Linked DNA regions of Macaca fascicularis. The protein of the gene in region 2 purifies or fractionates together with the protein of the main gene of each other region. This does not show direct contact. Links are inferred from orthologs where the notes say so. Each region holds a gene or a part of one and is shown on either strand. Other genes may lie near its edges.

Evidence for each region.
Region 1: the proteins of MARK2 (region 2) and FUCA1 purify together in Homo sapiens (affinity purification with mass spectrometry; 3 studies listed by BioGRID and IntAct, counting the BioPlex papers as one, with this or other methods). This does not show direct contact. The link is inferred for Macaca fascicularis from reciprocal best matches to the Homo sapiens genes MARK2 and FUCA1.

Annotation. Positions count from the first base shown.
Region 1 is NC_088375.1:211,261,122-211,264,930, reverse strand, and holds part of FUCA1 (tissue alpha-L-fucosidase), read right to left. Parts: intron 3,762-3,809; coding exon 3,571-3,761; intron 788-3,570; coding exon 688-787; intron 470-687; coding exon 329-469; 3' UTR 1-328. UniProt on the Homo sapiens protein: Alpha-L-fucosidase is responsible for hydrolyzing the alpha-1,6-linked fucose joined to the reducing-end N-acetylglucosamine of the carbohydrate moieties of glycoproteins.
Region 2 is NC_088388.1:10,500,557-10,504,365, forward strand, and holds part of MARK2 (serine/threonine-protein kinase MARK2), read right to left. Parts: intron 3,568-3,809; coding exon 3,310-3,567; intron 2,276-3,309; coding exon 2,249-2,275; intron 119-2,248; coding exon 74-118; intron 1-73. UniProt on the Homo sapiens protein: Serine/threonine-protein kinase. Involved in cell polarity and microtubule dynamics regulation. Phosphorylates CRTC2/TORC2, DCX, HDAC7, KIF13B, MAP2, MAP4 and RAB11FIP2. Phosphorylates the microtubule-associated protein MAPT/TAU.

The DNA.
Region 1 (3,809 bases), on a different chromosome or scaffold from region 2:
AAGGTATTGAGTAAGCAAGTAGGTTATCAGAGAACAGAGGGAAGATTCCATTGTAGATAATTTCAAATATTAGAATTGATGAACTCAGAGTTTAACTGCTCAGTCCCTTCTTCTGCTGACCTGATACAGATATAATCGCAATGGATCTCAGATCTTTGGTCCATTAAGACATCGGGGTAACGTACTCAGTTCCTTTGATTAAAATGTGTTGGAAAAGCCATCTCTGGGTGGAGAAGACAAGTTCGTTGATTATAGTGATGGTATTATAAGAGGAAAACTGAAGCAGCAAAACAGCAGGCAGCGCCTCTTTCTTCTTGCACTCAAATGATTACTTCACTCCCGTCAGCTTTATAGTCCAAGCAAACTCTGCAGGAACAGCAGAGGGTGGCAACTGGGGCAGAGAGATGAGGAGACCTTTATCTGGATCTGTGGACCACTTCAGATCTCCTTGAATTCCCAGCATCATTATCTGCAGAAAACAAAAGGGAATGAAACCAACTGGTAATGCACTAATGAGTAGAGAATACAGGCTGACTATGGTGGGAAACGGCCATGCTGGGCCAGGGCAGGAAAGCCAGTCTAAAAGAGGTATGAATATGGGAGAAACCTGGCAGGGAAGGAAGAAAGGATGAATCTGCCAATTCCTTTACAGAAAGTTACATCTTAGGACTGACTGAGCCTCCTTACCTTCGTAGTTGAGGTAGTTATGGGAGATTCAAGGTTTAAGACTCCATTTTCTGGCCAATGCAGAAAAATGGCATAAACAGCTGATCCCTTTGAGGTATACCTGGGAAAACAGAAACAACACTGTCAAAGATACCTGGCTTGTTATCCTGATATACAACTTTATGCATTCCCTTTTAATGTTAATTTTAATTTTTTTTTCTTTTGAGACAAAGTCTCACTCTGTTGCCCAGGCTGGAGTGCAATGGTATGATCTTGGCTCACTGCAATCTCTGCCTCCTGGGTTCAAGCAATTCTTGTGCCTCAGCCTCCCGAGTCACTGGATTACAGGTGTGCGCCACCATGCCTGGCTAACTTTTGTATTTTTAGTAGAGATGGCATTTTGCTATGTTGAACAGGCTGGTCTTAAACTCTTGGCCTCAAGTGATCCACCTGCATCGGCCTCCCAAAGTGCTGGGATTACAGGTATGAGCCATTGCACCTGGCTCCTTATTTTTTTATTTTTTTTTGAGTCAGAGCCTCACTCTTGTCCAGGGTGAAGCATGGTGGTACAATCTTGGCTCATTGCAACCTTCACCTCTCAGGTTCAAGCAATTCTCCTGCCTCAGCCTCCTGAGTAACTGGGATTACAGGTGCCTGCCACCATGCCCAGCTAATTTTTGTATTTTTAGTAAAGACGGGGTTTCACCACGTTGGCCAGGCTGGTCTTGAACTCCTGACCTCAGGTGATCCACCCACCTTGGCCTCCCAAAGTGTTGGGATTACAAGCGTGAGCCACTGTGCCTGGCCGAATTTCTCTTTTTTAGTGATGGAGTCTTGCTGTGTTGCCCAGGCTGGTCTCAAACTCCTAGGCTCAAGTGATCCTCCCACCTTGGCATTCGAAAGTGCTGGGATTATAGGTGTGAACCACTGCACAAGGCCACTTATTCGCCTTTCAATTATCTACCAAATCCCAGTCCTTGAGTCTGTCACTGCTAATAGGGAGCACCAATAACTCACTACCAATGAAGGTCTGCAGGAAGGAGGCAGTTTATACAACTCTATCTGGTGATATCTTCCATTTTCCCTGCCAATTGGGTCAAGTTGTCTTTAAAAATTAACTCCTACACCAGTTACTTCAAATAAATGAGGCCATTTACCTTATTATTCAAATCTCTTTTCTATTCCAAATCCATGTGAAAATAGCAGAGACTATAACAAGGACAAGATATGCAATGAAGACAGATTTGTTGTTCAGAGATTTCTTTCTTTTTCTTTTTTTTTTTTTCTGAGACCGCACCTGGCCTGTTCTGAAATTTCACTATCTTTAGAGAAGAGGATGAAAATCACTACTATGGTTTGAATGTGTCTCCCAAATCTCATGTGTTGGAAACTTAATCTCCAAATTCATATGTTGATAGTACAGTATTTAGAGGTGAGGCCTTTGGGAAGTAATTAGGATCAGATAAGGTGATCAGGGTAGGGCCCCACGATGGGACTGATGGCTTTATAAGAGGAAGAGAGACCTGAGTGGACATGCCCACTCTTATCCCCAACCATGTCATAATGTAGCAGGAAGGCCCTCACCAGATGCTGGTGCTATGCTCTTGAACTTCCCAGCCTCCAGAACTGTGAGCTAAATAGACCTCTATTCTTTAAAAATTATCCAGTGTAAGCCAGGTGCAGTGGCTCATGCCTGTAATTCAAGCACTTTGAGAGGCAGAGGCGGGTGGATCACGTGAGGCCAGGAGTTCGAGACCAGCCTGGCCAACGCGGTGAAACCCCGTCTCTACTAAAAATACAAAAATTAGTTGGGCATGGTGGTGGGTGCCTATAATCCCAGCTGCTTCGGAGGCTGAGGCAGGAGAAGTGCTTGAACCCGGGAGGCAGAGGTTGCAGTGAGCTGAGATTGTGCCACTGTACTCCAATCTGGGCAACAGAGTGAGACTGTCTAAAAATAAAATAAAATAAAATAAAAATCCAGCCTGTGGGATTCAGTTATAGCAACAGAAAACAGACTAAGACAACCACTAAACAGAAACTCAGCCAAAACAGAGGGATTAATGGAGGGATTAGATCCAGAGACCTAAGCTCTCTGGTATAATACAAGCAGTTCCCTTTAATCGAACACTTAGTTTGTGCCTGGCACTCATCTCATTTAATCCTCACAACAACACTATAAAGTATCGTCACTCCATTCTGCAGTGGAAAAAAATGGGACCCAAGATCAAATAACTAGATCCCGAAGTCCAAGTATGAATGGAAAGAATTTAGAATGGGGCCCTGTGCAACCCAAGCATTCGTTATTACTATTTTTAGGGGGCAGGGTAATAATCTCAATAAATTGACAGATGCTTTGTTGCTCCTTCCCTTTTCACCAAACCCACTCTCTCCCCTCACTGGTCAAAGATAACCCAGTAGCCTAAGACATAACTCAAATGGGGCACAAATTTTTTTTTTTTTTTTTTTTTTTTGAGACGGAGTCTCGCTCTGTCGCCCAGGCTGAAGTGCAGTGGCCGGATCTCAGCTCACTGCAAGCTCCGCCTCCCGGGTTCACGCCATTCTCCTGCCTCAGCCTCCCGAGTAGCTGGGACTACAGGCGGCCGCCACCTCGCCCGGCTAGTTTTTTTTTTTGTATTTTTAGTAGAGACGGGGTTTCACCGTGTTAGCCAGGATGGTCTCGATCTCCTGACCTCGTGATCCACCCGTCTCGGCCTCCCAAAGTGCTGGGATTACAGGCTTGAGCCACCGCGCCCGGCCGGGGCACAAATTTTATGGGAAAATGACAGCTTTTGGATTTTCTCAAGGCAACTTCCAGCCTGGCTTGTAACATTGTGGACCCAAGGAGATACCAGTTCCAGATGGGGCACCATCCTGTTCTTACACACAACAGAAGACGAGACTCACCATACAGATGTTGTGTTCTTTTCCCATTGCACCCGCCACGGTTTGGAGGCATAGATGGCCTCTCCGTTGATGCTCAGCCATTTCCCAAGAGCAAGAAGTCTTTCTTGGAAGATGGGAACAATCAATCCATCTTTGGTTGGTCCAATGTTCAGAAGATAGTTGCCTCCCAAACTGACTGTCTGAACCAGTTCCTGGAGAGAACAGACACAGTGAAAGTCTAGCTAGGAAAGCCAAGTCTG
Region 2 (3,809 bases):
GAAGAGAGGAGCAGGAGGCTTGTGGCAAGCCCGGTGGCCCGGGCAGGGCCAGTGCTGGCTCCAGCCCTCTCACCTGAGCGTCTCCACTCGGTCTTTGCTTTCAGGTTCATTCAGGTTCCTCAAAAAACAGAGCGAGGGAGAGTTTAGTGCTGGGATCTCTCGCTCCTTCCGCCGCCACAGACCCAGATGAGAGTGGGTCTGGGGAGGTGCCACCAGTGGGTGGGCAGGACCCAAGCCCAGGGCCCTCTGCCCATCACCTGGCAAGCCAACAGGGCTCTGCAGCACCTCACACTGGCGGCTCAACCATTCCTTTCCAGCAGGGAGCCCAGCACATGGGGCCTGTCCCTCCCCACACTCCCAGATCTGTGCCGGGGAGAAGGAGCCTCCGCTCTGGGGGAGGAGGGGGAGTGGCTGTGCACGCACTTCACTGAGCACACCGAGCACACAGCCGGGCACGAGGCTGCTCCCCCACAGCCAGGGCTCACGCGCTGTTCTGGGGGTTGCGGGTGTGAGTAAGTTTTTGGAGCCACACGCTAGGGTCTCAGGACTGCAGTCCTTTTGGAGGAAAGGGGCTGCAATGCTTTGGGTCTCTGTAGGAGGAGGGGCTGTGGCTACGCAAGGGTCTCTGTCAGAAGGCTCAAAGTGCCAAGGCCTGGGTCTGCATGGTAGGCACCTGGGGATGGGTGCCTGCTGCTGAGTGGAAAAGGCCGCCTCCTCCGACCTTTCCCAACTCCCCTACCTGCTGGCCTGCCAGGCCATCTGCTCATACACAGGGAGGACGAGGGCGGGGCGGGGCAGACACCTTGGGTGGGTGGGTGGGGAAGAGGTCTGGCCCCGCTGAGCGGCTTCTCCAGCTCCTGGCTGGAAGATGGGTGTCTGGAACTAGGAAATTGGGGATTGCAGAGGGAGGATGTGAGAGGAAGGAGAAAGAGCAGCAGCACATAGAAATAAACAGGAAGACACAACCAACACAGGGGTGCACACAAGCGCACTGCGAGCAGGGAGCCCGGCTGTGCGAGGAAGGCACCCGCCCCGCTCTCTCCAGATGCCCTGTGGGGCAGCCCCCTGCTGGGGCCCCTTGAGGCAGCAGCCAGCCAGGCAGTCAAGCGCTGGGTGAGAGGAGGAGGGGATGGGGAAAGCCTGAAGACCCTGTCTGGACGTTCCTCCATCAGCTGTGGCACCAATGTGCCTGCCAGGCATCCCAGTTCCAGTGCAGGGCCTGAGCAGACAGCCCTGGGGAACAAGCACTCTTAACCTGGCCCTTGGTCTTCAGCTTGGTATTTGGCCCCCGAGGCCTGCAGAGAGGATGAGCCTAAGGCCAGGGGTGAAACAGCCAGGAAGGGGCCCATGAAGGGAGACCCCTGGGTAAGGGTGCAGAGATCTGTTGTTTTGCTAGGGCTTGGGGTAGAACGGCCCTTGCCCTGGAATGTCCCAGCTCCCGGCACTTTGGAAGGGACAGGCCATATCTGGAGAAAACAGCCCAGAGGAGAAGAGGCTTGATTTATCCAGATGCTGCTGGTGGCAGGGGTGTTGGGGCAGGGGTGCGGGTGGGTGGGGCTAGTCCTGCAGGAGCTGCCAGGAGGGGGTGCTGTGCTCCATTTGTGAGACAAAAGCTCCTAAGGTCTGGAGGATCTAGACTGAAACCTTGGGGCCCCAGGGTCCCTGTAGTGTCTCCAAAGTCCTGCCATCCCATAGGCCAAGGGGAAGAGGTCACACAGCTCTGAAGTTCAGGAAGCCCAGGACACAGACAAGATACCATCCCAGATGCACTTGTAACCCTGGAGCTTCCTCACAGCGCATGCACATGACAGGGGAAAGGGCCAGGAAAGGATCCCAACACTGTGACCAAAACCTGGAGTGAGGGGGAGTGGGGATGGGGTGGGGTGGGTGAGAGGAGACAATCTTAAAGGGAGGCTTCCCTGAGACAGTCTCCCCTTACTTGAGGACAGGCGTAACTGTGGGCCCAAGGAAGGCCCCTCATTTTTAAAGCCATTTGCCCTGAGTGGGCCAATGTGGCCTCTTAGCCCTGCCTGTTCGTACTGGGGGCACTGAAGGCAGGCCCTGTGCCGTTGCCCAATCAGAGGCAGTCTTCATCCCTTTAAGATGGCAGAGAGAGGAGGGCCACACAGACTTGGTTAAGCAGATGGAGGAGAGTAAGAGCCAGAAAAGGGGAGTTAGTGATGGAGGCAGGACACAGGACACGGACACACACACACACACACACACACACAGCGGGCTCAACGCCTACCTTCTGGCAAACCTGAAAGACAGATTTCTAAAAAAACAAACAAAAAAAAAGACAAAATAAAAAAAGAAATAAAAAAAAACCAACAAGACGGTATGTGGATAAGCAGGTGGGGAGTGGCTTCACAGGTTCAAGGGTCATCCCATTTTCGGAAGAGCCGCTCAGCGAGACTAGAGTCCCAGGCTTTCAGACCTGCCCACCCTCTCTGCAGGCCTCACACCTGCATTTTGGGGTTCAGATGGGGCAGTGGCTTTGGCTCCTCCAGCAGAGTGGAGTGAAACGTAGAGGAAGGGCAGGCGAGCCTGCTCTCTCAAAGCCCCTGCTGCTTCCTGAGCTGCTACTCCAAGGCAGGGAGAGGAATGGGCATGACAGGGACGCGGAGCATCCCAGGAGGCCAGCCAGTTGGCTGGATGCACTTCAAGCTGCCCCTCTGTGGTGGCTGGGGGCTCAGGTGTGAGAAACCCCATGAAGAGATCCCCACCCTGGGTCCAACACAGGAAAGCTTTGGCACAACCTCTGGTTAGGCCACTGTGGGCCCTCGCCAGTGATTTCATTTATAGGTTTCACCGTAAGAACCCCCGGGCGGAAGGGCACGGCTGTGGCTGCAGCCACAAACAGAACCAGCTAAGGGGAGAGGCAGTCAAAGGGACAAGAGACCAGGACAAAATTTTCCTTGCTGGCCCCAGCCTGGCTCATGCCTCATGACTTTGCAGCTGCGTCACCAAATATAAGTTTCCATGGGAACCCAGGAGAGAAGGGGGGGCTTTTATTTTAGCATCTGAGTTCACACTCTCCTAGAGAGGAGGCGGCATCGGCCATCTGCTTGGGGCCAGAGAATGAGGGGTGCCTGTAAGGAGTTGGGGAGAGGCCTAAGAGGGGTGGGCCTGGGCATACAAGGTGTTGACAAAGACCCAATTTCTTGTGCTTCCCCAAGCCTCTTCTAACCCCAAGACCCAATACCAGTACAGAGTGTCCCAAATCCCAACCCCCAACCCCTAACCCACTCCCAGTCAGGTGGGAAGGCCTGGCCTAAGCCTCTCTGCCACCCAAAGCTCCTTGCTTACCTGCGTACAAACTTGGAGGTGAACTTGCTGAAGATGCTCCCAGAGGCCCCCCGCCGGCCCTGGCTGTGGCCAGAGGGAGAGGCTGGGGTCACACCATAGGGCAAATTCTGCTGGTCCCGCACCTGTCGGAGCTGCCCAGCATGGAAGGTGCTTCGGCTGGACACACCCCGGGGGAAATTAGTTCGGTCTGGGGCTCCACCACTGCTGCTGATGTTGTGGGCGGATGGGGAGGCGACAGGGACACGTTGGGGGGCTGTGCTGTGAGAAGAGAAGTGGGGTTGAGGGGGATGAATTAGGGTACAGGACAGCCATCATCACTGGGCACCTGGACACCCTGTGGTGGGGACAGGGAGGGGGATGCTAGGGCAGAGGCAGCCATCACGAGGACACAGAAGGAAGGGTGTGACTATTGAGGACAGTGGTGAGAAGGAAGTCTTGTGGAAGTGGAAGGAGATGGTTTGGGAAGGGAGGGAGGGAGGCAAGGAAGGACCCGTGTGTGG